Coturnix japonica: one gene and its partners. The protein of the gene in region 2 interacts with the protein of the main gene of each other region in a biochemical or structural test. Links are inferred from orthologs where the notes say so. Each region holds a gene or a part of one and is shown on either strand. Other genes may lie near its edges. The genes, in order: GDF2, BMPR2, GDF5 and BMP2.

The links.
Region 1: the proteins of BMPR2 (region 2) and GDF2 form a complex in vitro, tested with the Homo sapiens proteins (2 studies listed by BioGRID). The link is inferred for Coturnix japonica from reciprocal best matches to the Homo sapiens genes BMPR2 and GDF2.
Region 3: the proteins of BMPR2 (region 2) and GDF5 form a complex in vitro, tested with the Homo sapiens proteins (2 studies listed by BioGRID and IntAct, with this or other methods). The link is inferred for Coturnix japonica from reciprocal best matches to the Homo sapiens genes BMPR2 and GDF5.
Region 4: the proteins of BMPR2 (region 2) and BMP2 form a complex in vitro, tested with the Homo sapiens proteins (4 studies listed by BioGRID and IntAct, with this or other methods). The link is inferred for Coturnix japonica from reciprocal best matches to the Homo sapiens genes BMPR2 and BMP2.

Annotation. Positions count from the first base shown.
Region 1 is NC_029521.1:15,468,533-15,475,715, forward strand, and holds part of GDF2 (growth/differentiation factor 2), read right to left. Parts: 5' UTR 3,975-7,183; coding exon 3,629-3,974; intron 1,974-3,628; coding exon 1,036-1,973; 3' UTR 1-1,035. UniProt on the Homo sapiens protein: Potent circulating inhibitor of angiogenesis. Signals through the type I activin receptor ACVRL1 but not other Alks. Signaling through SMAD1 in endothelial cells requires TGF-beta coreceptor endoglin/ENG.
Region 2 is NC_029522.1:10,382,135-10,389,819, reverse strand, and holds part of BMPR2 (bone morphogenetic protein receptor type-2), read right to left. Parts: intron 7,202-7,685; coding exon 7,029-7,201; intron 5,955-7,028; coding exon 4,675-5,954; intron 3,285-4,674; coding exon of another isoform or gene 3,235-3,284; exon of another isoform or gene 3,204-3,234; intron 2,981-3,203; coding exon 2,730-2,980; 3' UTR 1-2,729. UniProt on the Homo sapiens protein: On ligand binding, forms a receptor complex consisting of two type II and two type I transmembrane serine/threonine kinases.
Region 3 is NC_029535.1:1,101,592-1,109,842, reverse strand, and holds GDF5 (growth/differentiation factor 5), read right to left. Parts: upstream 5,641-8,251; 5' UTR 4,307-5,640; coding exon 3,673-4,306; intron 2,145-3,672; coding exon 1,276-2,144; 3' UTR 515-1,275; downstream 1-514. Other genes in the region: centrosome-associated protein CEP250, read left to right, coding at 7,250-7,351. UniProt on the Homo sapiens protein: Growth factor involved in bone and cartilage formation. During cartilage development regulates differentiation of chondrogenic tissue through two pathways.
Region 4 is NC_029518.1:13,150,592-13,158,894, forward strand, and holds the start of BMP2 (bone morphogenetic protein 2), read right to left. Parts: upstream 4,488-8,303; 5' UTR 4,055-4,487; intron 3,395-4,054; 5' UTR 3,388-3,394; coding exon 3,054-3,387; intron 1,030-3,053; coding exon 185-1,029; 3' UTR 1-184. UniProt on the Homo sapiens protein: Growth factor of the TGF-beta superfamily that plays essential roles in many developmental processes, including cardiogenesis, neurogenesis, and osteogenesis. Induces cartilage and bone formation.

The DNA of each region.
Region 1 (7,183 bases), on a different chromosome or scaffold from region 2:
ATAAAGTAGTGTAAGTGTCCCAGAACATAGAAAGGAGTTATCAATTGTTCCCAGACTTCTAAAGGGTGAAAGAATTTCATATGCAAAATAGTGTTTATCCTAAGAAAAGATAAAGAAATAGAGCCTGGAGTTAGACTCCGAAGAAATTTGTCAGGCCTCAAAAAATTGGCTTGTTTATTTCTTTTCACAAGTGCTGAGCACTGCCAACCCCCACAGCTGTCAGGGTACAGATCCTAAGACTGGATGTCATTTGACTGCATGTTCTTGCAAAGAAATACTAAGAATATGCAGTGGGTCAAAGTGGCTCCTTATCTTTGTGAGGAGATAAGGCCTGCTGCTCCTCCTAGGAAACAGTGTCTTAGAAGCGGAAGGCTGTACTTATCATTCAAGTATGTGCCATAAAAGGGTAAAAATAGGGACACTGAGGATAAGAAAGCTGAAACCAAGGCACCTGCTACCCACAGAAGGAAGCCTTGGAATCAAATGAGATGGAAAGTGTCATCTGTTTGGGAAATTAAAAAACACTTCACTTATATGAGTAAGTACTTTGCATTAAAATGACTTTAAATGTCTCTGAGATTACTGATGTGAGTAAAGATTTGCAGGATTTAGACTCACTGCTTTATCATGCAAACTAATTGCAATTCAGTTACTTCACAGAAGCTGGAAATAAGAACTGGCTGAGAGAGTTAAATTTCTAAGAGGCATAGAAACCTAGAGGACATCCTCAGTCCCAAAGGCTGCATGTGATCTGAAAAGAACTAGTTTAACAGAAAAATTCAAATAAGTTTTGTTTCTGTCACTCTAGCCAAATAATGCATAGTTCTTTCAATCTCACAACATTTTAATTAATATCATATAATGCAGGACATTTACACTGATGGACATTCTTTAAATGCCAGCTTTCCTTTAAAAGCAGCAACAACAACCAACCCCACACCATGCTCCAAACCTTGTTTGCAAGGATTTTCATTTGCATCACTAATGTACAGTTTCACAGACAGAAGTGTATTCTTCTTAGATATTCTGCATATACTACCTGCAGCCACATTCTGCCACTTTCATCCCTTCATAGTTATATATCAAAGTGGGTACACCAGCATCATCCTTATAAAGAATAGAGATTGAATCCAATTTAGTTGGAACACAACAGGCCTTAGAAGCTTTCTTAGGGTTTTGGAGATGCACTAGAGTCTGGACAATAGCATGTTTCGTTGGCGTAACATTATCTGTCAGAGGGAAGAAGCAACCTCCTTTACACTCAAAAGCCTCATAATCTTTGGGTGCAATGATCCAAGAATCCCAACCAATCTCTTTAAAGTTCACATGGAGTGAAGTTCTCCGACAGTGGTTTGCTCCAATGCTTCTCTTGCTTCTGGAGGAATGCTGATGGGGCCTAGCAATGGCTTTTTCCTCTTTCTGTTCTTCTTCAGATGAAGAGTTATTCTTTCCTAATTTGTTTAGCACATTTTCTTGTTCATGAACAATCATCTCCCGGAGCTCTGCTTTGGTCTCTTTTGTACCATTGCTGCGATCATTGGAGAACACTATTAAGAGGGGCAGATTCTTAGTGTCATGAGTAACACTAATATCCAGCTTCCCACAAGGGAAACCACCCAGAGCCTTACTCTCTATTACAACCTCTAGCTTGTTTTTAGTCTTCATCTTGTCTGCCTTAACCCATCTTTTCACAGCGCTGGACACTTCAAACATCTTCCAGCCACACTCCTGAATACTGTGGGAGACAAGAAAAGATTTGGTACCTTCCTTGTTTTCCCAATGGTCCCCGTCTAGAACATCATAAATGACCATGTTGCCTTCCGGTATGGAGGGAGACACAGCTTCCTCGTGACAGGAGATAAAGATTCTCAGTTCAGCTCTGGTGATTTCTTCATACCGTGGAATAGAGACGTTGAAGAACAAGATGTGTTTCTGAAATGGGTTTTCTTCTGGTGAAGTTAAAGAAACAACATCTACAATAGGAAATAAAAACTTATTGTTACAGTGCTCCTGACAGTCCAAATAACTTGCTTTTAAAAGGTGCGGGATGTGTTTTGTGAATAAAATATGACCACGGCTACCTAGCATTAAACAAACAATCAAAAAGAAACAGATACCATCTCCTGGCCAGGTTTCAAGGAGCAGGGAGTGAAAAGATAAAATGTAGTTCCTTGATGTTGGTAGCATTTTCACCAAGGCTGCATGCAGGTGAATGTCTGAAGCAGTGGAGGGGTAGCAGGAAGAGTCTTCCTAGAACAAGGTGCAGGTGGTGCTGTAGCAGGTACTCATCACTGGATGTTAAGTGTTAAGTTTAGCAATTTCCTGAAGAGATTTTACAGAAAGGATTCCTATAAAGAAAGGATTCCTATAAAAAACTTTTAGAATTCACCGCTCATAGTAGTGCAGTAGGATAAACTGCTCTCCTATTACAGAGAAGCATGGTATATATTTGTCTCTTTGAGAATTAATTCTGCTGGGGTTTTTGTTGTCTTCAAATAGCTTTGAAAGCAGTTTGTGTTATTGAGAGTTAGAGAACACAGAAAACATGTGAAAAACCTGAATCAAAGCTCAAGAGTCTGTTTAAATTAGGACTAGGTGATAAACAGTTCTTTGTGTTTAGGTATATTCCAGGCTTTTGTGAGCATTCATGGTGCTTTGGTGTTTTTTCTGCAAACGTGTAGAGCCAGCAACTCTGCCTTGGAAAGGGCAGATATTTTTGTGAGAGATCAGGTTGTTAGTGTTTTAAAGTCATCACTGAATGATATCTTTTTGGTCATCAGTTTAAGATAATTACTCAATTATCATTGTGTTTTAGGGCAATTCTAATTTGCTATTGTTGACCCATCTTCCCTCTAAAGCAGTCTGAGTGGAGAGTGGGGTGTGGGAACAAAAATCTAGTTCATACTGCTGAAGTTTCTTTCCATTTCAGGATTAAAGTCACTTATTTGGGAATCTGGAGATCCTCATAGTGTTGTTACCTGTATACAATCAATTTTTTTGTAAGAACAGATTCTTCCTGTCTCATTTCTATTCCAAAGACTGTACTTATAGCATTTTTCTTTTTTTTTAGTGTCTTGAGATGGAGCTTTCAACAATCTATTTATTGTTACACAGGTAGATCTGGACTTTTTTCAACTCAAGACAAGCCTGGCTACTACTTTCCATGTAAATCTTCCCATCTAAACCAGAATTTGGGGTGGGCACTTCTGGATCCTTGCTTGGATCGAGGCACAAATTTCTCAGTTGGCTATTGTGCTTAAGAATGACAGAAGCTTCCTAGAAAGAAGCGTCCTCTGTCATGAACGCCTGTGCTATAGGTGATCACATATTTGTTTTCTAACATTAAAAACAAAACAAAAAGCAGTCACAAATCTCTACCTGTAAACCCTGTGCTCAACATATTGTCTCAAATAGATAAAATTGTACAACAAAAATATCAGAAATTATTTAGTTATATTTTTTTAAAGATTGAAAGGAGCAAGGCCAATGTCCAAAATTTTAATCTATTTACTTTCTAAGTAGACTGCGGAAGTTAGGCAACCAGTTTCCTCAGAATTTCAAAAGCATCTGACTGCTGTTCATATATTTCTTTAAAAGTTCATGTCCACACACTTAGGACTTCTCCTACCTTCAGTGCTGAAGCTCCTCACAATGTTGGATGCAGGGATTGAGGACTTGTCCGCTGTATATCTGTTGTATAAATCAATCATGAACTGTGGTGGTTCTTCTTTGGTCTTCACTTGTGAGGGGACCCTTGATAAATTCAAGCTTCTTAGTAAATCTGTCTTCATATTCTCCAGGAAAGATTTAAAGTCAAAATGGGTCTCATCTTCCACTTCTCCAGGATCATGAAAGAATGCATCAGACTCTCCCATAACTGGTAACTTGTCCCAGTTTTCCAAAGGCTTGCCTCTTGTCAGACACGCAATGATATTGAAAACAGACAGTACAGCCAATACTCCAAAATAATGCATTTCTTATGTATTTACTTTCTGGCGGAGAGACGAGAGGACAAAGTATTTTAACTGATCAAAAATATTGTATCTTTACAGACAGAGGAAAGGAGATGGAAGGCAAACAGCTGGAATGCCCTTTGCAAATCACTTTCTTGTGTTCTTTTCACTGTCTACTTCAAACCCCAGCCTCTTGTCAGTTGTCAAGCAGATTGGTTGTACACTTGCCCTTATCTGAGTCATTGATGCCATGCTTCAGCTTCCGTTATCAAGCAAAGCTCTTAGTTAATGAAGATTCTATAAACATTTGACAAACACACATGGCTGGTGGGAAGGACACTGTATATTGTAAAGAATCCACATTTCACTTTAGGGTCATCGTTGCCTAATTACTCTCTTTTAGCACTTCCTTGCCAACTCAGGCAGAAGCTTTCTTAGGGACGTGGAAGATTACACAGTTTTCATCATGACTAGAAAACAGAAATCTAGAATGAAATTATTCTATTGGCTATTAGTAAATAACATCTCATAAATACCTTCCACGTTCCATTAGTATGCCATCAGAAAATTTACAGTAATTTGATGGAGAGCTGTGATTCTGCAAGACATGATCTCATGACAGTACAAACAACCTTAAAACTTCTTTCCGTTTATCAGCCAAGAGCTATTATTTGTACACACTGTAATATCTGTTTTGTGTCAAGTGCGCTTCATGCTGTTTGCAGGCTTGTCCTTTTTCAGTCTGATTCTTTTGGTAGATGGGACTTAATTCTTGTTTTTATAGCATCTTACATAATATATTTCTTAGATTCTTGTTGGTCAATACAATCCAAGAGCAACCAGTGACCTTGGAGTGGAAACAGAACCAACACTTCTGATGCTGCATGAAAAGTAAGGGTCTGATACAGTTATCTGTAAGAAGAATGGGACAAAAGTACAAGTCTGGTAGAATTTCTTATGATACAGAAGAAAATAAAGTGTGTATTTATAGGCGAAAATATCACCTGTTATTTGTCTTAATTAACCTGCTATGATTTAATTTAATGGTGTGTATATTTTGTCTGTACTGTTAACATATCATCTTTTTTTAAACACAGCTCAATCCATTCTTACATATGCCACAAATTCTGAACAGTATTATCAGCTCTTACTTTAAAAATAAAAAGTATATTTGACAATATTTTATTCTTTCTGGCCATTCTTTAGTTTGCCAGCAGTGCATGTGGTGTTTAAAGTGAGCTCAGTCTAGGTTGTCATGTGTTTGTTCAAGTGACAACTGGGAGGAAAGGTTCTGGTTAACTGTGTTCCTACATTGCAAAGTCAGAGAAGATTATTTAGAGTTGATTCTATTCTCCTGAGTTTGTAAAGGTTGTTATGTATTACTTAAGGCATTTGTATTTTCTACTTGTGTGCAGTGTTCAATTGTTTGTATTTGTTGTATAACATTTTAAGGGTCTCAGAAAAATGAAAAACTTTTTTTTTTATTTTATTTTTTTTTAGCACTTGTTCTAAAAGAGCATCACTCACACTTAAAACTCTTGGTGCTTCATTTATTGTTTCACTGTTCCTGGCTAACACCTTTTAGACATCAGTTCTACTCACTTTCCTGTTGGATTCAGAAGCCTCATAGCATTGGTAGTTTCTCTCCATCAAAGTACTTATTGTAATCAAGTTACTTCTCAGTTTGCTTTCTGATTAAAAAAAAAAAAAAAAAGTGTTGGTTTTTTTTAGTCACATTCTGGAGGATATTTTCTTTGACAGGTTCTGTTTCTCTTTTTGTGTCATTTCCAGAATTTCAGGATTTTTTATTTTTTTTTTTTGTTTTGTTTTGTTCTTTGAAAAGGTGAACATAGGAGCTATGTGTGGTTTTCTGGTGGCAGTCTTCCAGTGCCATATGCAGAAAAACAATCTCCTTTCCTGCTGGGGTTCTCTGCTCCACAGTGCATCTTTCTGTAGCTTTCATTAGCACTTTTTACATAACATTACCTTTGATGCATATATTATACTGCAGGTCCATGGCACCCACCAAATATATTTTAAAAGGTACATTTGTTCAAGGATGCAGTCTTCTGCTCAGTAGGACCAGCTTCTGTTCCTTGTGCCTAGGTAGGATACTCTGTATCTGCCTACCTTAAAGTAAGTCTTGATTGCATGGCTAGATCAAGTGGTCTATATAAATAACAGTCTCCTGAATGCTCTTGTGCAAATACTGTGGAGGTTGTTATATATAAAAGATTTCCAGTTCACATATAACAATGTTATGTATTGTCAGGCCAAGTGTCATCTTTGCAGAAACTTAATAATTAACAGTTTCATTTAGTGGCACTCCCATTTGTAAGCTTGCTCTTTGAGGTTTGGCCATGAGACAGTTGTTATTTCATGTGATGCATAAGTACAATAACCACGTTCAGTAGTTTCCATTAACTATACTACCTTGTGAAAATGAATTAAAACAGTCCACAGTATACAAAACAGTCTAATTATGCTTTTACCTCTGGCAAATAAGTTGTGATCTCAAAGAATTAAATGGAATATTGTAGTAAAAAGTGTCCTTTAAGCTTTGCTGACTACTATCAGCTGATTTCCTGATTTTATGTCTGTAATCACCTGCTGTTGATATACTCATATTTTTGGGAGGATTAGTGAGATTATCTTGCTGTTTAAGTGTTTGTCAATAGTAACTTTTTTTAGAAATGTAAATACTGAGTGGAAGAGTATACAGCATGGCCATAGGAATCAAAGGACTGTTAGGAGGGAAGATTCAAGATGGCATGGATATCATCTGGCGGCATTTGTGCTATTTTAAAAATAAGTTAAATGTATTAAATGCAAAATTTCCTTTTCCAAAGGAAGAATAGACATTCAAAGGCCCAAAAAGTAGCCACTTCTAAGCAAATTGTGGTGAAAGCCTGGTTTGCATTAGAGAATTGACAGATATAGCTAAACCACAAAATGTCTTGTGACAAAATGAGTTTCTTCTCCAAGTTACTAAATGAAATAAACTTCAACAGTAACAGAATATTCTCTTTTGTGTGCTAAGGGAGTGCCTTGATAGCTATGTCACTTACAGGTATAATTTTGTTTTGCCCATGCTAAATTACATAGTTATGCCAGTCTTTATATACAGACTAGATCTTTCAGGTTTCTCTTTGTATCCTGAAGAGATAGGAGTAGCATTTTTCCCTTACATCCCGTAGACCTTATAACAGACCTCTCCTCATTATTTGCAT
Region 2 (7,685 bases):
TGCATCCCCAAAAGGTTCTCCAGGAAGTGACAAAAAAAGATAAAGGAAATGATATTTTCATGCATGCTTTAAAAATGTTCAACAAAAACTGCACAAGAATCTTCATCTGGTATCAAAATTATTTTCATTGCATCAAGCATAACAGAAGTTGGGTTCCTTACAAAGGACTGATCTGAAAAGAAAGGCTGGAATATCACAGCAAATCTGTTTTAGCAGAAAGAACTAGTCGGAGTAAATAACTTTTCTTTCCCCAGAGTCTGTCAAGTTAGATAAGTGTCCTAAATAGCTTTTCAGCCCACATTCTGAAATGCTGATGGATTATACATGTAAGGCAAACCAGAAAGTCATTGGAAAATGAGTGAAGAGGCTTCATTAAGCACGACAGACCAATCATCACAAGACAACATACTGTACATCAAATGCAGACTTGAAGAAGTCCAAAAGAGATGAAAAACGTGGCCAACACTATGAACAGAATGCCAAAAATTCTGATTGAGGTCTTGAAACCCAGCTGAGCAACTGGCAAGTTTTCAACATCTGGGATGCAAGATCGTAGCAGATGGGAAGCTGGGGAGTGCATTAAAAGTAAAACCAGTGAAAGGCCGTATTTTCTGATGAGGGAAAGTATAACTATGTATTTATACATCAGGATAATAGAACTGCACCTCAGAGTTATTATTTAAGCTGGTGCTTAAACAGCACAGGGAGCCCAAACTATACCTCATAACCTGTACTTCTACAACTACACTGAATGAAAAATTTGGATTTAGAGTCATCTCTTGGAGATACCTACAAAAATGTAAGAAACATTTAGTAAACATTAAAGAATAAATTCATAAAGCACAAGCAAGGGTTTGAGAAATAGCAAGAATCAGATGTGTCAAAGTATATATTATACTAGTTATGTCAGATGTATAAAACAGAGTTGGCAACTTTACCTCATGGGGAAAAAAACCCACAATAGCAAGGAAACAAACAAGCTTGAAAGCAGAGAGCATCTGGTTCTGACTGCCAGAAGAAGACAGGTTGGGAGAGGCAAGTGTCTGCTGCCAGTAGCCTACCATAGGAGTTTGGCAGGATGGCTGCATAGTATTTATTGTATTTTATTTTTTGAACATTACCAGTTTCCCAAGGTAAAATTGACCTCATTACCAAAGACTGACATGTGTTACACACACACAAATATATATATTTAATTTAAACAGTTTTTACTGAAGTGTTTTCCATCAGAGTCTCAGGTGGATGGATAATTCTCAAGTGAAAGGAAGGCCTGACCAGTAAGGAAATTAGTTTTCTTCCAGTAGACAGTAAAAATGATTACTCTACGATAAAGTAAGATGTATATAAGATGATGAGAAAAATAATCTCAACACATATTAGATTCACATTCACTGAAACTAAAATCAATGTGTGGAGTGTTACATACAAACTGAAAGAAGTATTTAACCAGAAAAAAGCCAGCCTTCCCCCCCAAACACTCATACCCATGAATTTTAAAAGCATGCAGTTGATTTTACCGAGATGAATGAAGAGCTTTGAAAACCTGAGGGGAAGGAGAGTTTCAGCTCAGCAACAGCAACCAGTCAGGATGCACCCACCCTGCGCAGGTCATCAGGCTGATTCTACTCAGACTGTCAGGACAGATTTGTGCCAAATAAGATTAATATCTTTTCCTCTTTGTTAACAAAATATGTTCGCAACCTACCTTCACTAGAGCTCTTAAGTATGACTGTTACTTAGATTTCTGTTTGAGTTGCATTTTTCAATGTACACTATTAGTGATCTAAGCAAGGTTTTACATAAATACAAAGGGTAGAACTGCACACAAAATAAAGTACAAAAATGGCTGACATTGTTTCCTTACATTTGTTCAACAACTGGTTACTCAGAACTTGACGGGCTGGCATCTACCACCATTAAGGAAACTCACTTCAGTTGAGAAGGGTCAAAGGAAGGGTACTGAACTCAATTTTTGTTCCTTTTTAAAAGCCCTTTCAAACTGGGGAAAGTTCATACGTTGTCACCTCAGAGCACGATGTGATACAGGCAGCAGCTTTGAGCTGGCTATGGTGTGCAAAGTTAATTGTCACAACTGACTGACTGCTCAACTGTCAGGGAAAACATAACAAAGACAAAAACAGGAACGTGGCATTTTTAGAAACACTTCTCAATAAAGCATACTGTGAACTATAGACTATTGCACATTTCAACATGACACAAGAAAAATGGAGGGGCAAAAGAGAATACACTTTGTAACATAGAAATATACAGACTAGCTTGTGCACAGAAATCAAAACATGGTTACAAGACACCACCGCAGTCAAACCTGTCTTATAGTCTGCTTGTGATCTTAGTGACCTTAAGAAACTGGTCCAAACTGATTATCAGCAATACCTTTTTTTGTTTTTTTTTTAAAAAAATATTTTGAGACCACATTTTTGATACACATATATATATTCCGTGGTCAAAACAGACAGACTTAACTTCAGCGATACTAAATAAAAGTGCAAAAACGTTCAAAAAAATAAATCAAAATAAAAAAATATGGAAGCATAAGCTAAAAATTTTCTGCATAGCTGAAATCTATTTAAAGCGAGTCCTTGATAGGGGTTGCTGACAGGAGGAGAAAGCAGTTTTTTAAAATGTCTTCTGTATGTTTGTTTCAAATAATGAAAAAACAAAACAAAACAAAACCAACAGAAAGGTCATTTGTCGGCTTTTAAAGTATTTCACAGGCAGTTCACTCCTGCGTCCTTAGATACCATTGTGGTGGCAGTGCCTCCTTCTGCAAGGTAAACGGCAGTGCTGGATTTGGAGTGCACTGCCCGGTCACCGCTGTTATTGTTGACCTCGCAGTGCAGCGGCTCAGTGGAGATGACCCATGTCGAAGGACGCCATCGCTTCAGTGAGTAAGGAGTTTTCACACGTTTCTTGATCTTTTCTCCTGAGCCCGATTTGCCATCCTGTGAGGAGTCACCTACTGAACAACAACAACAAAAAGTAGAAAAAAACACTATTACAGGAAAGAACAGACTGGACAGTCCAGGGTTGTTACTCATGCAGAATGGAACAAAAAGCAGAAAATCCTATTAAATTAAGCAACTGTATGGCAGAGAGGTGGCAGCAGATAGTGGCTGTCACTAAAACAAGGGGCAGATTCTGTTCTCTTTCAGAAATTACTTCAGTGAAGTAATTTGTGTTACCTTGAATGCACATTGGCATCAAACAGCAGAATCAGCATTTGATATTTGAGGGGCTTTTGCAATCATAGTATCTTACATTACCTGTAATGGAAGGTACAAAAAAAAAAAATGTAGCTACTACAGGATGGCAAAGGCTAAACATTTGATAGCAAAATTAAATCACAGATCCCCTGGTCCTAACTTGGCCTCGCAAAGCAGTTCTTTACATACAAAACCTCAGGCAAGAGCTCAGGCCTTTGCCAGGAGACAAATATTCTTTAGGATCCTAAATCAGGATTTGGGATGTTGCATTGCAAAACTGGAAAAAACACTTGCTTGTCAGCTTCAAATGTAACAAAAATTCAGCAGTAGAAATCTGATCTTAACCTTCAAATATTTTAATTTCTTCTTCATTTCAACTAAAGAAAGTTACTGCGTTAATCTTTTTTTTTTTTCTCTTCAATAAAATGTCAACTCAAGTTAACAAGTAAAGATGAAAATATAAGGTTTCCTACTTAAAAGGAAAGCTTAAACATTAAATTGCTGAATATTCAACTACATTTCTTGAAAGATCTGTCCTAGCTCATTTATAAACTTTTTCTTTCCAAGCATCCAATGCCTGGCACCACGGGTTAATTTGCTAGTATGACAGCCTCTACCTAAACACAGTCAGGTTTGCAAGTATCTTTTGACACTGACAATGTATTCTGGAGCATGTTAGCTAGGAAGTCTCTCCAACAGCCCACAGACTCCAAAGAAACTCATTCTATGTACTGAACTATAAATATAGACAGAGTTCTTACCATGATAAAGAAATTCTCATTGTAACCTCTTACGTTTTTAGGCTTAAAAATCTAAGGCAGTTTTTCTGAGGGCATCTACTAAAATCCATTCTCTAACTACTTTGCTTATTTTTTTTAATATGTACATGGTAAACTGACAAAGGATTGCTTTAACTGTTAACGCTCAGATAGTAAGCTAGAGAATGCCTGACTGCCCACATAGGCTGAACTAATACAATAATATCAGTCGCTTTAAAAGTTACGAAGTAATAAGTGTGTAATAATAATTTTAATCCATGCATCTTAGAGCCAGCTACTCTTATGAATGATGAAAAACAAGGAAAAGAAGGCACAGTATGTCCCTGAAGGAAGAAACAGGAGACATTTCAATAACCTTTGCCACTGCCTCGCAACAAATAAAAGTAGAAATGGCTCCTCTCAAAGTAGAGAGAATAGAAAGGGATGGATTTTTGCCATGTATTTGGAAAGAGGATAGTGACCTAAAGCACTCTGGAGCTGATGAAGACAGAACACAGGACTTTATTGAGAAGACTGAAATAGTTCTGATAGAAACTGAATTTATATGAGATTAATAGGCACACTTGGAGGAGTGAAAGGGGACACAGAAGTATTTTCAAGTAGATATACATAATTATTCAGCAAAAAAAAAATGCATCAGGGAAACTTGTTCAACTTCTGCTGGCACTTACACTGCATACTACTACTATCCAAACTATTTGTGGCAGATAGATCCAGCGAATTAGGCCTCTGTGCTCTTCTAGTCTGAGTCTGCCCAGGATTTCTGGCTACATTCTGGATACTGAGTGTAGCTGTGTCTTGCACTGGACATGGATTACTGTTATTGTTATTAACATTTGTTCGGCCATTATCAAGTTGTCGCTCTCTCCTGTCTACTAGGCGGTCCAGAACACCTTCATCATGGCCAACCTGCTGCTCCCGCCTCAACAACGGTTCATGCTCATCAGGGCTTGAATTAATATTCAATCGACTATCCTCTCCACTGAACTGGTTCTGAAGCATTTCCTGGGCCCTCTGTGCTACTGAACTGGCTGTTTGGCCAGATGGCACTGCCCCATTGGCATACTGGGTTGTGCCAGCATGAGAGTTTATGCCGTGGGTTCTACCAGCCACTCCATTCATGGTAACCGTCACCACATGAGGCTCCGCAGCATTGATAGTGTTCATCTTGGCAACGCCTGTTTCAACTTGCTTCAAGTTTGATTTGTGCTTGCCACCAAATTTTAACCGTGGCTCCTTTGTTGAGTTTTTGGTGTTTAGAGGAAGGCTAGTAGGCCTCTTCGGAAGGTTCTGTTGCTTGGGTAGAGGATACACCTGAGCAGATGGGACATCTGGAATCAAACATGCTTGACCATTGCTAGCTTGCGTGAAATCCTGTTGTCCTGTCACCTCTACTGCAAGTTTTATCAGTGGATAAAGCAAGCTGGAACTAGTGCTGCTGAGTGGATCTGGTCCACTAAACTGCTTGAGTGAATGTTCCATCAGATTTTCATCAGAACTTTCTTTCAGGTTCTTGTCTACTTCTTTTGGATCCAGTTTATTTGTCTCTAAATCCTCCTCTGTTAGTTGCAGACAAACTGGCGTGGGCCCACCCGGCTGCATGATGTTTGTAGTATGTAAGTTTGTTTCATCTGAATAAGGTATTTCAGATATTGTGGTCATGCCAGTGCTAGGAGTGAGGCCAGTTGTATTGGTGGTAGTAGTATTAGTGGACAAACTGGTGACGCTTGTCTCAGGACTAGGGATGCGAGCTTGTGCTTGTTGCCGCTCATAGTTAATGGAGTTTCTATTCTTTTCCCCTGAAGTCAGTGGTGTAGAGGACATTGAATGTTCAGACGAGATGTTCTTCACTATGCTGTCAGTGTGGTGGATTGAATCTTCAATGTAGGAGGAAGAAGAATAATCTGGGTACGGCCTTATTTTTGACACTCGTCTATGATGTGACAGGTTCCTTTAAGAAAAAAAATCAGTGATATTAAGATCATATATGTAAATATTGCTGTATATTATAAAGCCTTTAATTTAAGAGAACTGAATGTCTACTTATTTTTGTGCATAAACTAAGGACAGATACAATTAAAAAACTGAGATCCTCTTTGAAAAATCCTGGGAAGCAGATAATCATTTTACTAGGACAGCAGTTTTGTCACGAATTTTATTGACAGAAGTAAATCACATAACAGCAATTTTCTTCTATTTGTCCAATACTTGTATTTGTACAGTTCACTGCTAAGGTACTGGTCTAGTTGCAGAGAAGTGATGCTGAAGATGGGAAACAAGAGAACAAGGGAAACTATACTCAAGAGCATAGGATACAGAAAATGATGCTAGGGAAAGAGTCACAATCTTCTAAACCATGAAAAATGTATAATTTTAACAATTTAGGTGTTCCACGCTTTAAACAGAATTTTTTCATGACAAACCCTGCCAATGCTACCCTTCTCTCAAATCCAGATCTCTACTATGGTGTCTATTATGTTAGCACTAATGTCAGTTCTGCATCATTTGCAATCAGAGAAGGGATGTACCCATCACTTCTCTCACTGGGCCAGAATAACAATGACTTTAACAAGGGCTTTGTAGTTCTTAAACTGAATAGCTATAAATTCAAGTCTTGGTGATATCACGAACTCTTACTGTCAGAACTGATAGCTTATAGCAGAACATTTTAAACAGAAGTTCAATGCATCACTTAGAAAAGAGTCTTTAAACACAATTCATAGTCTTTTCAAGCTCGTTTGGATAGTTTGTCTAAACTCAGCTTAACAGGCCTCACTGTGATAAAAACAGTTGTTTACATACAACATGTCTGAATTCTGGCAATTGTAAGAATCCAATGCCATAAAAATGTTTATTTTGTGGATTCATGCAATGCAAAACTATCAGAATCATACACAAAATCCATATGTAGACTAGCTCCCATAACTCTTTTAAACACTATGTGAATGGTGTGCTCTAGCTTCCTTCCTGTAGTGAGCTAAGCACTGGACATTCATTGCCAACTAAAGTCCATTTTTTCTCTTACCGCTCATTTTGCATGGCAGTTGACATTGGATTGACTGTTGGACTAACTGATTTATTTCTCTCCCAAATCATCATAAGTTCTGCCATTCTCTCCTCAGCACACTGGGCAGTTAATCGAGCTTCAGCATCTTGATCCCAGCAGTCTTCGATTGTTTCTTTAAGTGACCTCACAGCCTGCCGGGAGACAGACAAACAAAAACACTTTTTCTTAAATTACTTTCCCTTTATATTGTGCTTCTAATTTACTGTCCTATGACAGTATTCTGCATGGATGAGAATAGTCACAAGTTGGTGATATAAGGAAACAGAAGACACACAACACAATTGCTCAGTGCTAGTTTATGCTAGTAACAACAGTGCTGCAGAACTAATATTATCATACATCATATGCAAAAAACTGGAAAGATAATTATTTAGAAAAAATTAGAGTTGTTCATGCAACCTTCAGCCTGCCCTTGTTGAGGTACACATGCTCGTTCTCCCTTCTTTATGAAAGTCACGTACAAAGGATTGATGGTGGCTCTGGAAATGCCATCGTTGGTGTCCTCGCAATTCAGCTAATGGTCCCTGCTTTACTGCCCTGCACTGTATGCAATTGACACAGCCTTGCCCAGTTCATCAGGCTCCTTCTGTCCACTAATGTAACATTCAAATACCA
Region 3 (8,251 bases), on a different chromosome or scaffold from region 2:
TTAGTAACTGAACTATTGCTAAGCTATGTCAGTCATTTCCAATGGTTCCCACATCCTGCCTGATCCATCTACATTGAGATGTCAGTATGGTTATGTAGGTGGAATCACAAAAAAGAAATCCCAGAAAAAAATTTACGTTCCATGCCTGGAATAGATACAGGAGATAAGCGAACACACAGCTGTTGGAGCCTGGAATAAAAAGATAACAGTTCTTTTGCAATCAGCTGCATAATTCTTTCTAGCCCCAGGTACGTCAAGTGATAATGCCATTCCACACCCGATTAAAACACAGCGTGCTTTCAGATCTTTCTTCCAACAGTTCCAGTCAGCAGTTAGAGGCAAGTGAAACACATGAACATGCTATGCATGCCTCCAGAATTCTGTCGCATTGAAAAGTCCCTTTCATTCATATTTATTGTACAAAAATGCTAAAACGAATTCTTAATAGCATTACAATTATGCAGGGTTAGACAGCGAGACACAATGTAGCATTGTGTCAATAATTTATTACATCTTATGCCATAACTGAGCACTTTTACTAGGAGCATTTGAGAACAACTTGGACCTTATACAGAGTAATATATCTTGCTACACAATAATGGAAAGGTGGATACTTAGGAAAGATACGTAGCTTGGAGGAAAGCATACATGGAAAGGAACGCCTCCTGCGTCACCCATCTCCATGTACAACTTAAAACTATATCAACACATTACATTTAATTACTCCTTTTTTTTCATATGCATAGTTTTGAGAGCTAATCAGAAAGAAACCATATTACAGTACAACTATTTACACCAAGATGGGAGCGTGCCAGAACACAACCCTCTCTTCTAGACATCAGGACTATTTCCTTACAGCTCATAATGGACAATGCACATGGGACTCAGACATAGATTCAGTCTCAAGAATGTTGTTCAAAGGATCAGACAGGTCGCAGCTCACCAATACCATTTTTACACACTGCCTCTAGGGTAAAAAGCAGGTGATTTAGAGGCATGGAGGTCAAATCTTCCCTGTCGCAGACTTTAGGTAGAGCCAGTCTTGTGTTGCCAACACGTGGCTTTATACTGGGCTCTGTGACAGTGTCCAAATGCAATTGAAATATGCCCAAAGTGGAGAGATGGTGGAAAAACATACAGAATGGCTGGATTTGGTGCTACATCCTTGTAAACATACCCTAGAGGTAAGAAATTAAGTTAACCTTGTTTCAGGAGAGGTTATGTTCAGTGCGTCATATTATCTTTCATAGCATATTCACATGAGCAACTGTTCTGCTACCTGCAGCCACACGACTCCACCACCATGTCCTCATACTGCTTGTAGACCACATTGTTTGCAGAGTCAATGAAAAGAATGCTGATAGGACTCAGCCTGGTTGGAACACAGCAAGTAGGAGGCGTCGATTCGGGGTCCATTGAGTTCATTAAAGTTTGGATAACTGCATGATTGGTGGGCTCCAGGTGGGATCGGAGGGGGAACTCACAAAGACCTTCACAGTGATATGCTTCGTATTCTAAGGGTGCTATTATCCAGTCATCCCAGCCCATGTCTTTAAAATTCACATGGAGGGCTTTTCTGCTACACCTTGCCTTCAGGTTCTTACTGGGCCTCTTCCCTTGCCGTGTTGCTAGAGGAGCTCTTCTCTTCCGCCTCTGATTGAACAAGTACTCATACACGGTTTTGTCATCTTGGCCGGATCTAGCTTTGATTTCATTGAAAAACAAGTCCCTTTTTTTTGTCCTCCCAAACACCAAGAAGAGAGCCTTTTCGTTGACCTGTCTTCCCGTTCTGTTAAATCCCACAGTCCTGAGATCAACCGCTCTCCCCCTGTCAAAAGTCTCCAGTTCGAAACACAAGTTGACCAAGTTTTTAAAGTTCCTAAAAAGCTTCCAGATGTCAAACACTTCCCATTTTGGTGTATCTGTGATGCTGACAATACGAGAGTCCAGGAGCGTCGCTGCTTGTCTGTTGGTAGAGCAACTAAACAATTTCACTTGGGAAGTCTTTCCAGAAGAATGAGACTTCCAAGCATCAGAAGGCTTTTTCCTCAGTATCCGAAGCTCTGCTCCCAGCAGGCCGTCTTTTTCTAATGCACTGATGTCAAAAATGTATTTTTGTTTCCTTATGGTTGGCGCTCGCTCATCTAAAAAAAGCACACGCATTTTTAAATGAAGCACAGAGCAATGCTGCTTTGTCAGTTCTCTACAATGTTCCTGCAGTTTCCCCGTAAGACCAGCATTTACCTCAGTTAGCCCACTAAACAGAAAGGACAATTTTTGTCTGAGGGATGGGCTCTGAGCGGGGACCTGGAAGAATTCAGTGACTCATTGGGAAAGGAGTTCCTGAGCTTGCCCTTTAGAAATGTCAGTTCTTTCACCAGTGGGCATTTTCTAGCTTCAAAGTAGCCCTTAGCCAATTGGAAAACCGTCATTTATAAGGTCTGAGGGCTCACAGGGCCTATTCACCACTTACATACCACTTACGTTACTGAAATGGGTATTCAGTGGTGCCCAGGCCTCATGCTGGCTCCAACATTACCCTTAGACAATACAATAGTCATTAGTCCTTTAAAACCAGCATCCCCCAGGAACACAAAGATAATTGCCTCATTAACTCTGCTCCGCAGAGTTCACAACTTTTCCATACTGGGCAGAACAACAGACCTCCCTTTAACCTGACTCTGTCTTTGCCTGGTTAAACCTGCGAGCGGCACTAATGAGGAATATGCCCAAACCAACATTTTATCCATGTTTCAATAACAGCGCCTTCCAGTGGTCAGTCAAGGATCTGAACACAGCACTGCTCAGCTGCGTGCCATCCCATCCCGAAAGCCAAACTATTCTTGATTAAACAGCAAACAAACCCAGTCCTGGCTGAGTCTTCAATCACTATTATGTAATTAGCTGTGGCCTGTGTTGCTTCCTTAATTCCATGACCAAAGCTCTCATTAACGTCACCAGAAGCAACATGGAGATAAGCCTCCCACTGGGACGGCAAGGTGAACATCTTTCTTTGGTTATGTGTTGTGTGAGAGCAGACACTAGGCCAAATTTCCAATAAATTTGGAACCATAACACTGAACCGCAAATTAGGGAGTCCCAGAAGTTATTTACACTCATTAGCCCATGTTTAGCTGTGAGCTTCTGTGGTTAGAAGGCTGGTAGTGTCTGAAAGCATGAGATTCAAGCTCATACAGGTACACCAGCGCCACTCTATAATGACTCCTGGGTCTACATTGTAGTTCCTCCCAGCTCATCCTTGGACAAACTGGGGTGACCTCCAACACTGAAACGTGTGTTTTTCCGCAGAACAGCCCCTTTCTCAGCAGAGAATGTGTTTTCAGACACACTTAGCAATAAAATCAAGCAACAGTATCCAGGATCTTCCTACTGAAATAGCATAAGATCAAAACGTGAAAGTTTCTGAACAACTAAACCCTCAAGGACTAATGGATTTTCAGAAATATGCACCTGAAATATTCTAATGTTTTGCTTGGCTGCCATGCTACCATCTATTTCTGCCTCTAGAGGAATCTGCCAAGATAAGGACAAAACCTACAATTTCATTCTCATTAGAAAGAGCTTTCTGCCTTTAACAACATACAGTTATGTTCTAGTAATGCTCGTGCTCAGATGTCCCTCTGTCCACACACACGTGAGCTCCCCTCTTACCTTGTCCTTTGTCTATAAAGCTGGTTATTGTATTGGCAAGTCCAGCCTCCAGTTTTACACTTCCATTAACACCTTTTCTTTCTGCGTCTGAGAGAGTCCTGTACAAAGAGAGCATGTATTCATGTGGCGTTATAGGGGGCTGTCTGAAAGCTTCCTTAGCTTCCCTTTGGGTGACAGGCTCTTTAGTCTTTTTCGTTTTGAAAGCGCTGCTATCAGCACTGCTCGTGCTGGGTTTTTTCAAAGCCGTCTTGCTGCTAAGATTTGGGACCTTTGGAGTCACCGTCCTTACTCCAGAAGGTCTGCTCGGGAGATGTCCTACCTTTGCCTCTGAGGCAGCTGCTCTTGAAAGAACCCTCTGTGATTCGTCGTTCTTGGCCAGCAGAGCTCCAGGCTGAGCAGCATTGCTTTTAGTCCTTGCCTTCGAGGTCCCGGTGCTAAATCCATGGTTCGCAGCCCGTGGCGTGCCTGCCCGTGCTGAGGGAGTCCTCTCCTTTCCTTCTGCTTTTAACAAATCTGTTTTAGACCCCGGATTACTCTGGCCTGCTTCAGAATTGCTCAGTGCTCCAGGAACTAGATCCAGAGACAGCCAAGTCAAATGCCAAAGCAGTAAAGTGAGAAAATGCAGGATTTTCATCCTCTGGTCTTCCTCTGAATGCCGCTAAAGAAAAAATCAGGGAAGGTTCCTCCAGTTTGGCAGAAGAAAACATGAAAGAAATTAAAAACCAAAGTCAGCAAAAGTGGTTTTCGATCGAGATTAAAACATTGCAAATCTGGTTGTTCAGTGCTCGTATCCAGTCCCATAGTGGAAATGCTCCTGCTCTCAGACGCGCTCTCCCCTGACTTCAGTTCGTGGCTGTAAAGGGCTCGTTCTTGAAAAGAGAAAGTTTACCACCTCGTTTTCTTCTGTAAAACTGACTGAAAAGTTGAAGGAGTCCTGTTTAAATCGGAGGGGTTTTTTTTCCGAGAAGGAAGAATGGCGTAATGCTGCCTCTGTGTTAAAAGGGCTGTTTTTTTTTTTTTTAACGTTTTGAATCCTTTCCAGTGAAAATATTTCACACACAGAGACCTGCAGGTGCTCAGAAATCTTTTACAAACCTGAGCTCAGGAATTGGAAACGGAATTCCAACAAACCGATTTAATTACTCTCTGATGTCATGCTGTCTAAACTAATTTAACTGCGATATATTTCTTTAAAAAAAAATCTTCTTTGCCCTTTTCATGAGCATGACTCATTCCCTGCCTCATGTGAAACAGCTCCGCGGGCTCAGGGCTCCAGAGGACGCGTTTTGGAGCGGCGGCACAACCTCTCCTTTCGCCTTCCATCAACTTCACGTTTAAATGGGACAAACTGCGAGACGGACAGCCGGGACCCGTCCTGCGGCCCACGGGAACGCGCACATGAAAGCCTCGGTGCGTAACCCCGTCCTGCTCCTTATTGCTGGAGCTGCGGCTTCGCTTTGCCCTCCAGCGACTCAGCTAACGAGGCAGGCGATGAATTTGGTATAACGCAGCACCGCCGTGCCCGCAGTCATCGCATGTTGGTGTTTTTATTGCTACGCTTTGAACAAACCCGCGTAACCCAGCTGCAGGAGAAGGCTGTGCAGGCACTGCTCCCTGCAGGCGGCCCCGCTCCTGCCAGCAGCACGGCTCGGGCTGCTCTGAGCCGGGGCGCAGCCGGGACGGAGCTTTTGTGAACCCGAATGTAGGAGAGCTCCCTGCCCACAGACAGGGGAAGGATGGGAGGAGGGAACCGGAGCTGCTGACGTGGGAAGGGTATCTGCTGCTGTCAGCTGTACTCCGGGGAGCACGGAGCGAGAGTGTCTTTCATGCAGTACAAAAAAATGAGCTGTTGTTGTTCTGAATGAACCTTGGGGAAATGAGGCACTGGGCTGGAGTGAACGGGGATTAATGGGACCCTTCTCTCATCCAGCGCTGTGCTGAGCCCAGCCCTCCCCTCCCAGTCACTTATTCCTGAAGCAAGAATAAAGGGGATAGATACAACAGCCTCGATTTTAGCTTGAATTGGACGTGCTGCGGCATTTTCCACTCTGACATGAAATTACTTTCATAAATAACAACCTGCAGCCCTTTCCATATGACACGCTTAGAATGCTTTACCATATTCCAGTGGAGGAACCAAAGGGCAGAACAGCTTAGTGACCGCACAGATGTCACAAATGAGGGAGAACAAAAACCCCACCCTCTCAATTTTGGCCTAATTGCCATTTCTCTGCAGTCAGTTTGATGTTTCCCATCAAAACAAAGCAGCTTTTCCACGAGTTACTTCCAACAGGCCCCTTCCCCAACAGTTCCTTCGTGCTGTCCCCATAACCCTCAGCCATGCTGTCCCTTCCTCCCACCCTCATTATCCACCTTCCTGCAGGCAGACAGGTGTGCTGTGTTGGTTCTGCCCACAGAAACAGCCAAGTGCTGAGTTCATGCTCTTATTCTATGAGGGATGCTCTGAAAGTGATGCCTCCTACTGTATGCTGTTGGCCCATGATGACAGAGGCAGGTGTTGGAGGAATGGCAGTAGAAACTGAACCTTCCCACCCACACGCTGTTCCTTTCTGCTGTTATATGGCAGATGGCAGCAGAGGGAGAGCCTGATAGGATGGCATCTGACATGGAGTCGCACATGGAGCAAAGGGATGGAATCACATTCCTCCATGTAGAAAAGCCAGCACCCAAACACTCTGTTTGGCTCTGTCAGTGTTACTGTATGTGTTGTATCTGTTGTGGTTTGCATGGAAACCTATCTAGGAGGCGTCACTTTTGGGGTACTCCAGTTTTCACAACACCGGTAAGAGTTCTGTATCTTTAAGATCTCTCCTGTTCCATCAAACATGGTTGAGATTCACAGATACAGAAACGATTGGGCAGATGGACAGGAAAGGGCAGAAGGTGAGACAGTGTGACTCCATAGGCCTTGTCTCATGGTAAATCAGACTAACAGCACAATTGGTCAAATGCTCACCCAGTATTTACACATCTGAGATGAATGTAACTTTCCATTTTTATTGAACACCAACTGATACTGCCAGTCACAAGTAAAAGAATGAACCAAACTGGGGTGAATCAGTCTCACAACCAGGACATGGGAGCAGGAGGAGTGTGAAGCTGGAGATGCTGAGCAGCTCTGCGGGAACTTCCCTGGTGGGCCAATGGGGACAGAGCTACTGTGAGCTGCTCTGAGCAAAGCCCCAGGTCTCCTTCAGCTCTCAGGAGGCACCACCCGTTATTCCTGTCCCCTGTGTGATTTCAACCAGATTCTTCTGGCCAAACTGCTATTCCTGGAGCTTGGCCCCTGGGGCTCCCGCCTGTCACCAACACGGTGCTGCGATGTGAGCGCTGTCAGACCTCTGCGCTCCTGTGGATCTGCCCATCTGATGTTTAATCCGCCATAGCTGAATTCACCTCCCTCACATTCAGCTTCCACCGTACACGACTCAGTCTCAGCACACACAGCGCTGTACCCGGTGGCAGCCCCTGTGTCGGGCACGGCGCGCTTCCCGCCGCACACCCGCCGTCCTATCGCCGCGGGGCTCAGCGGGCGGGGCGGGGCCGAGAGCGGGGCATGGCGGCCAGGGAGGCGGCGCGGGGCCAGGCCTGGCGGCGGCACGGAGCGGGGCAGGCGCGGCAGGAGCCGGCGGTGTCGGTGCGGGAGCTACAGGAGAAGGTGAGGGGAGGGCGGGACAAGGCGCGGCACAACGCGGTGCCCGGAGCACGGAGCACAGGCCTCGGGAGCCGCCCGACCAGGCCCGTCCCGTCTGGGCGCGGCCGGAAGGGGGGAGCTGTGCGGGCAGCGCGGGGCCTGAGTGAATCGAGGGGAAATAACGGCGGTCATGGGGGCTGCGGAACTTTCTGCCCTTTGGAAGGTTCGGTTCGGGGACGAAGCGGCAGCAGTTGTGCCGTTGGAGCGCAGGAGGCGGTGCGGCCTTTCTGTAAATGAGGAGCTGCTCGGGCGCTCAGAGACCGGAGTGTGGCTGAGTTACCGGCTGCGTGGTTTGACGTGTGAGGTGCTGGAGCACAGGCGGCAATAGCAGAGATGGCAAAGACACGTTTCCTTCTGCAGGCCCCGGCAGAATCCCGCCCGTTACCGTTCAGGCTCTGCCAGCTGATTTTCCACTTACTTTAGTACTCCCGAAGCGCTGCTGTATGTCCCAGCCATCAGCTGTGCACTGACCTGGCTGCCCTGAGTCCCTCCGGCTGAGCCATTCTCAACATACAAGAGCTTTCCCCTCCCTTTTGTTTTGCTGTTTGCATCTTAATTGTCTGCGTTGCAAGAAACTGTATCCTGGATGTGTCCAAACAGTGGGGTGTGGGAGGGAATCCTGCACCTCTGTGCTGCACTGTGACACCTCACCTGGAGCACTGCGTCCACAGGTGGAGCCCTCAGCACAGGACAGACATAGACCTGTTGGTTCACATCCAGAGGGGGGCCACAACAATGAACTGAGGGACAAACACCTCCCTACAAGGACAGGCTGAGAGCTGGAGCTCTGGGGAGACCGTTCTGTAAGATAAGAGGACAGACTCTTCAGCAGGGTTTGTTGTGATGGGATATAGGGAAATGGTT
Region 4 (8,303 bases), on a different chromosome or scaffold from region 2:
TCTCTGATTAAAATATTTGTTTTCCCAACCTTTCCGTAGACATAAATATATTTTTCAAAATAATTGTGTTTTTTTTTCTTTTTCTTTCCATTTTCATTACATAAATAAAGTCTTCATTGGGAAATATTAAAGTGTCAGCTTTTCTCTATTTTTTCTTTTGCATTTGTCCGATATATTCGCCGTGTCAGCGGCACCCACAACCCTCCACAACCATATCTTGATAGTTCTTTAGCACAACTTTCTCATTCTCATCCAGGTAGAGCATTGAGATAGCGCTCAGTTCTGTCGGCACGCAGCAGGCCTTGGGGATTTTGGAATTCACTGAATTGACCAAAGTCTGAACAATGGCGTGGTTCGTTGAGTTGAGGTGGTCGGCCAGAGGGAAGGGACAGTCCCCGTGGCAGTAAAACGCCTGGTAGCCCGGGGGAGCCACGATCCAATCGTTCCAACCCACGTCGCTGAAATCCACATACAACGGATGCCTTTTGCAACTGTATTTGTGGCGTTTGCGCTGTTTGTGTTTCACTTGACGCTTTTCTCTTTTGTGAAGCGGGTGTCCCTTGCCATCGTGCCCAAACGTCACTAACAACGGCCTGAGCTGAGACCAGCTATCTTCATCCTGGTGTAAAGACCTGCTAATCCTAACGTGCCTCTTGGAGGCACTGTTCTCTTTGTCCAAGTGAACCACCTCCACTACAAACCCATGATTAGGTTGCCCGTGTGCAATCCACCTCAAAACGGCCGGCGTTACATCAAAACTTTCCCATTTACTTGCATTATGATGCACCAACCTGGTGTCCAAAAGTCTCGTGACGGGGTCCTTAGAGGTGGCTGTGGCTGGTTTTATAATTTCATAAATATTAATACGGTGATGGTAGCTGCTGTTGCTCTCAAAGGCTTCGTGCACCTGCTCCCGAAAGATCTGGAGTTCAGCTGAGGTGATAGACTCCTCATTAGGGATGGAAGTTAAATTAAAGAAGAAACGTCGTGCTGTTTTCCCACTTGTTTCTGGCAGTTCTTCCAAAACTTCTAATTTGATTAAACGAGAAGGGAAGGGGAGGGGGGCAGGGAGCAGAGGGAGAGAAAGAAAAAACAGTTAGGAACTGAGACAAGCAACCAAACCCCTCAGATACGTGCTGCTGGCATGCGACAAACAAGACCTGAAAGACTTCCAGGCAGAAAGCACAGCCTCCCTCATCCTTCTGTTTATTTACACAAGCATGTATAGCACAAAGTTAAGAACGCTTCATTCATTGTCATGCACTTTGATGGAATACCGGTGCTCTTTGCATTCCAGGTAGTCATTACCAGTGCCGAGAAACATGAAGCATCACGTTGGAATTCAAAGACATCAGTGAGAAAACTCGAGCACTACAGTTAGCAGAGGTCTGATGAGAATCATTGAAACCAACTGAGGATTTAAGGGCAATTGATGCATTTCTGCATTTTTCAAGAATATGGCTGGAGCACCTCTCTCTTAAGTTCCATTCTGAAATACAGTGCTCCACATCTTCAGTAACTTACTCAATCTTAATGTATAGATTTGCATATGTTAACTAGAGGCAGTGACCTCAACATCTGTAAGGCCACTTTACAAGCACACCCCAGTATGAAGTCCAAAGGACTGTGAGAACGGGTCTAGCTGCTAGAATGGGTGGATGCTAAAGGGATAAGGAAATGTTTTTAGCAACCAAACCAGCCCCTGAGCCCCGTGCCATCTTTCCCTTTCAGCCAACAGACACTGGAATGGAACTTCAGGGGGAGTACTATGTATCTAGGGCTGCTACACTGTAAGTTTCTGCTGCAGACACGGAAGAAATAGCGTTTGCCCACAATAATCCCTCTGAAATCCTGGGTTTTCTTTTTGCTACTCAGCATCCCGGGGATCCGTTCACTTTCTGAAGGGAAGCTGGCACTGACGTGAGCAGTTCTCAGCCCCGTGCCATTCCCTGCTGGCTCCAGCCCGACTTCCCGCATCAGGCAGGGCTCAGCTCTGCAGCGCTTCGGGACCAGCCCGGCGTTTGTAAATATGCAGATGTGCGAGCGCTCCCGGCACAGCCTCCTGCTCTCATGAAGTCACGAACCAACAGTGAGAACTCAATGGAAAAACGGAGTCACGTTGATTTTCGTCTCAAGTTTGTGAAAACCGGAGGACAGCCTTCCATGTCAAAGACTTTGTTGCAACACCACCGCTTCCAACGCTGCTCTGTTTGCCTACAAGTTACACTCCGTGCCCCTCGGCTCCTGTCCTGCTCAGCACCTCGCCTGCCACGTACGGGCTTAAAAGGAACGAGCCACGCGCTGCTGCTGTTTACTTCCCCGCTACAGAGAGAGTGACATTTCACCACTGATCTCACTTCCCACTAAACGGCACCGGGGCCACCTCCGTCCAGCAGAACCATTAAATCTAAGCGCGTTTCTTTTCTCAGCTGTTCCACCTGAAGAGCGCGGGGCGACCGCTTTTCCATTCCCTTTAAAGCAGAGCCGCCGTGTGCCAGCGCCAGAGACTATGGCCAGGGCAGGTTCCATCCCGGGATAAAGCTTCCTGCAGAGCGGGGCAGCGGCAAGCACCGACGGCTCTGCGGGACCACGCGGCTGCGATCTCGGCCGTGTGAGCCGCTCGCTGGGTACGGCCCCCGGACGGGCAGCCAGCAGCCGGAGCCCCAGCCCGGAGCGCTACCTCCACCCCGGAGCGCTACCTCCAGCCGGGCGGCACGGCCCCGAGCTTCGCGACTCCTCCGGCTCGACGGCGGCCGGGGGAAGGCCGCTCCGGCCCGCTTCGCCTATCTCCCACGGGGATTTAGATAAGGGATTAGGAACCTTCGCCGCGGCTCGGGGGAAGCTTTCCTTCGCGTTCCGCCTCGCCCAAAGAAAGCTCCGTTCGCGGCCGGCAGAGCGCGGCGAGAGCCTCACACCGGCGGCCCCGGAGCCCGCGGTGGGCTCTGGAAACGCAGCCGCGACCCCCTCCGAAGCTCGGAGCCCGCCCCGCCGCCCCTCCTCCGTCCCACCCTCGCACTCCTCCCGCTCCCCTCCGCCCGTCCCTCGGCCCCTACCTTCGTGGTGGAAGCTGCGCACGGTGTTGGCGCGGCTGGCGGCCCTCTCCAGCGGGTAGCCCAGCTGCTGGCCGGCGTGCAGACGGTAGAGGTCCAGCATGTAGGGGGGGATGACGACGTCCTTGCCGGGGCTGGGCCGCCGCTTCAGCCCAAACATGTGAAGCAGGCGCAGCTCGAACTCTCCCAGGAGGTCCTCGGGGCGCTGCGCGGCCGAGGCGGAGCGGCCCGGTTCGCTGAAGCGCCGCCGTCCCACCTCCGGCATGAGGCCGGCCGCGCCGCCCAGCAGCACCCGGCAGAGCAGCAGCGCCAGGAGGGAGCGGGTGGCGGCAACCATGGTCGACCTGCGCGGAGGAGGAGGCGATGGGAGGCGGTCAGCGCGGGCACCGCGCCGGGGGAGCGCGCCGCGAAGCGGGGGGCAGCCGGGGCCACTCCGCAGGTGGCTGCCGGCCCATGGCGAGCGGACAGCGGGACGGCGCGGCCGGGGGGGCCCCGTCGGGGCTCAGGTGCGCGGCGGCACCAAATCCCCGCGGCGGGGGATCAAAAGGAGCCGGGCGGGCCGGGCAGCGGGGGTGGGGGGCGAGGGGAAGGGGCGCGGGTGGCCGGAGAGCCGCCCTCGGCGGGCGCAGGTGCGTGCGGCCACGGCCTCCCGCAGAGGGAACGGGGGGCGGAGAGGGACGGGGCGGTGGGAGAGGGACCTCCCGGCCGTGCCCGGGGCAGGCTATTCCAGCCGCGGCTTCCCCGGTCACAGGGAGGAGGGCCCCGCTATCCCGGCGTGGAATGAAGAGGGAAAAAAAAAAAAAGAAAAAGATGAAAAAAAAAAAGTAAAAAAAAGGAAAAAAAAAATAAAAGCCGCTCGCGCTCGAGCAGGAGCCGCGGGACGCTCTTCTCCCCCGCCAAACTCGGCGCGGGGTTAAGGCTCGCTACCCGCTCTCCGTCCCGTCCCCCCGGTGTTGCACGGAGTCATCCTGCGGAGACGGCGATCGGCGGCCGCGGGGCCGTACCTGAGTGCGGCGGGGCTGGCGTCTGCGGGAGCGCGTGCTGCTCTCGGGCTGTGGTCCCCGCATCACTTGGAGTTACTCCGAACCGCGCTGCTGCTGCTCCTCTGCGGCTGCCGGGCGGAAAACGGGAGCTGCCCGCGGTGCGGAGCGCCTCGGGAACATGCCTCGGGCGGGCGGGCGGGAGGCAGGAGGAAAGTCCGCGCTTCTCCTTTCGCAAAGCGCCGGTCGCAAAGTCGGTGTTTCCTTTCCGTTCTCCTCTCGGTGCGCGCTGCCCGCCCGCGAGTGGGTGCTACGCGTTACGGAGCGGAACGGCGCCTTCCGCGAGCGTCCTGCGCATCACCCGCAGCGCACGGGCGGCTATTTACCGGGAATCCCGCAGCGACATGGAGATGGGAGCTGGGCTTCGCTTTGCTCCGCGCCTTTAAAAGAAAAAAAAAAAAAANAAAAAAAAAAAAAAAAAAAAAAGGAAAAACCCAACCGAGGAGGAGAACGAAATAAAAAGCTACATTACAAAAAATATCCACCAACAAAACCCCTCCGGAGGGTGTGAGCACCGGTGGGGACAGCGCTGCGAGCGCGCACCCGTCCCGCCCGCGCCGCACCATGCACGGGGGCGGCCGAACGCGGCCGCGGCTTTTTGTTGCGCTCCGATGTCACGACCCCGGAGGCTCGCGGGCCCGCGCCAATCACAGCCGCCCTGTGGGAGCGGGCCGCGGCCCCGCACGGCTTTTAAAGGAGACGCCGCCTCCCTCCGTCTCTCCCTCCCTCGCCGCTTCTCTCCCTCCTCCTCCTTCGCCCGTTCCCTGCCTCGCCCGGACGCACCGCGCCGGGCTCTGGCCAGTCTGTGTGTCCGTCCGTCCGCCCGCACGGGACCGTCCCGCCGCTCCCCGCACAGTGACCGAGCGCCGGGTCGCGCGATGGGACCGGACCCCGAGCCCCCGGCGTCGCTCCCGACTTGCCGAGCGGCTCCCGGCCCGCCCCGTCCCGTCCCGTCCCGCACCGTACCGCCGCCGTGCCCGGCCGCGGGTTGGGAGCCGCTCTCCCCGCTCAGCCGCCGTCGGGGCGCTCCGGGATCACCCGGGACGCTGCCCCGTGCCCCGGCCCCGGCCCGACCCGCGCGGCCGCTCGCGTTCCTGAGCCGTGGCTGCCCCCCAGTGGCGGCGGAGCGGCGCTCCCCGCCCGCTGCCCCGCTCCGCACCTGCCCGCTCCCCTGTGCCGCTCTGCGCCTCGACGCGGCTCCGCGCTCGGGGTCGGGGTTGGCCGCTACCCCGGCTTTCGTTCGCCTGTGTGGGACGCGGCCCCTCCGCAGGGGTCACAAACGCCCCTCAGGGACTTCATCTGCAAAGAAGCTACAGCCAAATGTAAAACACTGCGGATGAGAATCTAAAGCAATAACAACCTTGACACCTCCATTCCCAGCTCCTCCTTTGGGAGTGGCCTTCTCCCTCCATCTTGACTTAGGGCACGACGCAGCATCTGCACTGGGGCAGGTCCCTTCTCCTGCCGCCTTGTGAGCCGCAGCTGTGCCATGGGACAGTGCCCAGCAGGGACTAACCAGCACTGTGCACCCAGCTGCTCCCCACGCCCCCTCAGCTGACCCTCGTGTGAAGGCCCTCAAAAGTTCTGTAACTTTTCTGTTGCATTTCAGTACAAATAAAGTTTAGTTTTATGACTCCCTGCGAGTCCTCTTCACGACCAAGGTGAAAGCAGTGTGATGCTGTGCCCATTATGTAAATCAGCACTAAAATAACAATGGCAGTGTTGTTTACACATCACTGGCGTTAAATGAGAACTTCTAATTGCCATCCCAGTTCAGTCTGTCGTGGGTCATGCCAGGAAGAAGCCAGGTGGCAAAGCAGCACGTATGCAGAAGGGTCACCTCCCCCAGGTGTCCCACAGCAGCACTCCCCCACAGAGCTCCCCTTCACACAGAGCTGGTGCATCAGCTCCTCTCCTGACAGAGAAACCAGCACTGGTGCTGAAGAGATCTGATATGGACATTGGGTTGTAAGAAGCTGGACCGCACAGATGTGTCACCTTTGTGAAGCTTCATTTCCATACTCCTCAACTCTGTATGGTTGACTGGACTGATCCATTTGTATTTTCCTTTTCTGCACATCTACTCTCTTTTTTTTCTTCCTTTTCTTTTTCTCTTGCTTCACAGTGTTGTGGTTTGCTGTGGGCTTTATCTGAGCCAGTGAGCATTCAGCTAAGGGCACCTGCTTCTTGGGTTTCAGATCCAGGTGCTCCTCTGCAGGTGCCCAATTGCAGCTGGTAGATCTCAACTTTATGCACTGTTGGGTTTTCTTAGTGAAATAAAGCACCCACAGACAGATAGGTTTTACAACCCGGTAAGAACTGTTTTTCAAGCACGGGAAGGCAAGAAGAAAGTCTTCTTCCGCACAACTCTGTTCTTCCTACTACATCCAATTGTGTTTCTGTAGTGCCACCAGGTAGTGTCTTTCTTCTGTCCTGGTTTAACTGTGAGCACTGCCAACGTTGCAGCGGGCAGAAGCCTTCAGCTGGAAGACCTCAATGAGAAATGCAGCCGGGACCTCGAGCTGGGACTCACAGTCACTAACAAAACACTCCAGATCCTGGTCTAGTCGTTGGACAGGTCTGCAGCAGCACACATAGAGCTCTGTGCACACTGCTGGTCAACACTTCTACCACTGACTTCAGCAGACCTGCTAGACCAACACCAAGCACTTCTAAAATTCCCCTCTTAGGCCAATTTCCCTCAGACATAGTGAGCTTTTGACATGGTACACTAACAGTACTGAGGGTGATTCATGTATTTGGTGCGCTGCAGTGACTAAACCTCTTCAGAGAAGCCTATGCTGAAGCATGAAAAATCTACATGATGCAGCATCAAACGTGAGGGGGGTGGCTGCTGAAAACGAGTTAAGGTGTGTTAGTGATGTTGAGGCTTTGATAGAGATTAGCTGAAAGCTTTTCTGTTTCTCAGCTGGGCTCCCCATTGGCATCTGTGCGAATATGATGTGTGCTCATTCTTGAAAACACTTCATGCTGTTTTCTGAAGATGTGTTTGTCTTTTGGTAGTTTGTCTTTAACATCCATCGGTTGTCTGTGCTCTGCAGCCCGTCTCCTGTTCCGTGGATGGATTCTCACTCGAGAAGGTAATTTATAAGATGATGATTTGTTTCTGAAGAGGGGAAAGGCATCTTATTCAGAAATGCCTTTTTCTTTCTTATTCACCTTTATTGGAATCTGGCAGCTCATCAAAGCTGTTGCTCTGTTTCACGGCGAGTCTCAATTTCATTCATCAAATCTTGGCTCTCTTTCCATCATAGTAGCAAGAAAATTGGAACTTATCAGGAACTACAGTGCAGAGCCAGTGTTTTCTACACTTCAAAGACATTTCCAGCATTAATGAATGATAACAGTTGCTCCTAACACTGTTAGAGCTCCCACGTAACTGTGTAACTTCCGTACTGCAAAATCAATGCCTACAGTTTGTAACTCATACCATTGCTGGGGAAAGAGGCAAAGAGAAAAAACTTTTTTCCCCCCATTTTCCTTTTTATGCTACAGATGCTCCAGTATTTCAACCGTAGCTTTTATCATGAAGAAGTGGAAGAACGCTGTAACACCTCTGGACAGCCTGGAGAATAACTGAGCTGTCACCTGAGAGATTCCTGGGCACTGTCATCATTTATAGTGATAGGACAAGGGGGAATGGTCTTAAACTGAGACAAGAGAGGTTTAGGTTAGAGATTACAAGGAAGATTTTCACACAGAGGGCGGTGACACACTGGAACAGGTTGCCCAAGGAGGCTGTGGATGCCCCATCCCTGCAGGCATTCAAGGCCAGGCTGGATGTGGCTCTGGGCAGCCTGGTGTAGTGGATGGCAACCCTGCACATAGCAGGGGGTTGAAACTGGATGATCATTGTGGCCCTTTTCAGCCCAGGCCATTCTATGGTTCGATGATTTGTATGTGTTTAATTACACGCAGTATATGCACCGTCAGTCCGAGGAGGTGGCAGTAGGCAGTGAACTGACAAGGATTCAGGACACCTCAGTCCTTGTCTCAGCACCGAGTACCCCTTTCCTCCCCTTCCTGCCTCACTTTTCCTTCCTTTGAAATGGGGATGATTCTGCAGACCCCCTCTTAAAGGTCACCACAATCCCTGCTAGGAAAAGGGCTAAAGCTTGGGCACTGATATTGTTTAGGGCTAAATAGTGGGTAAATGCCAATAAGTAACCTGAAACATCAAGAACCCCATGGC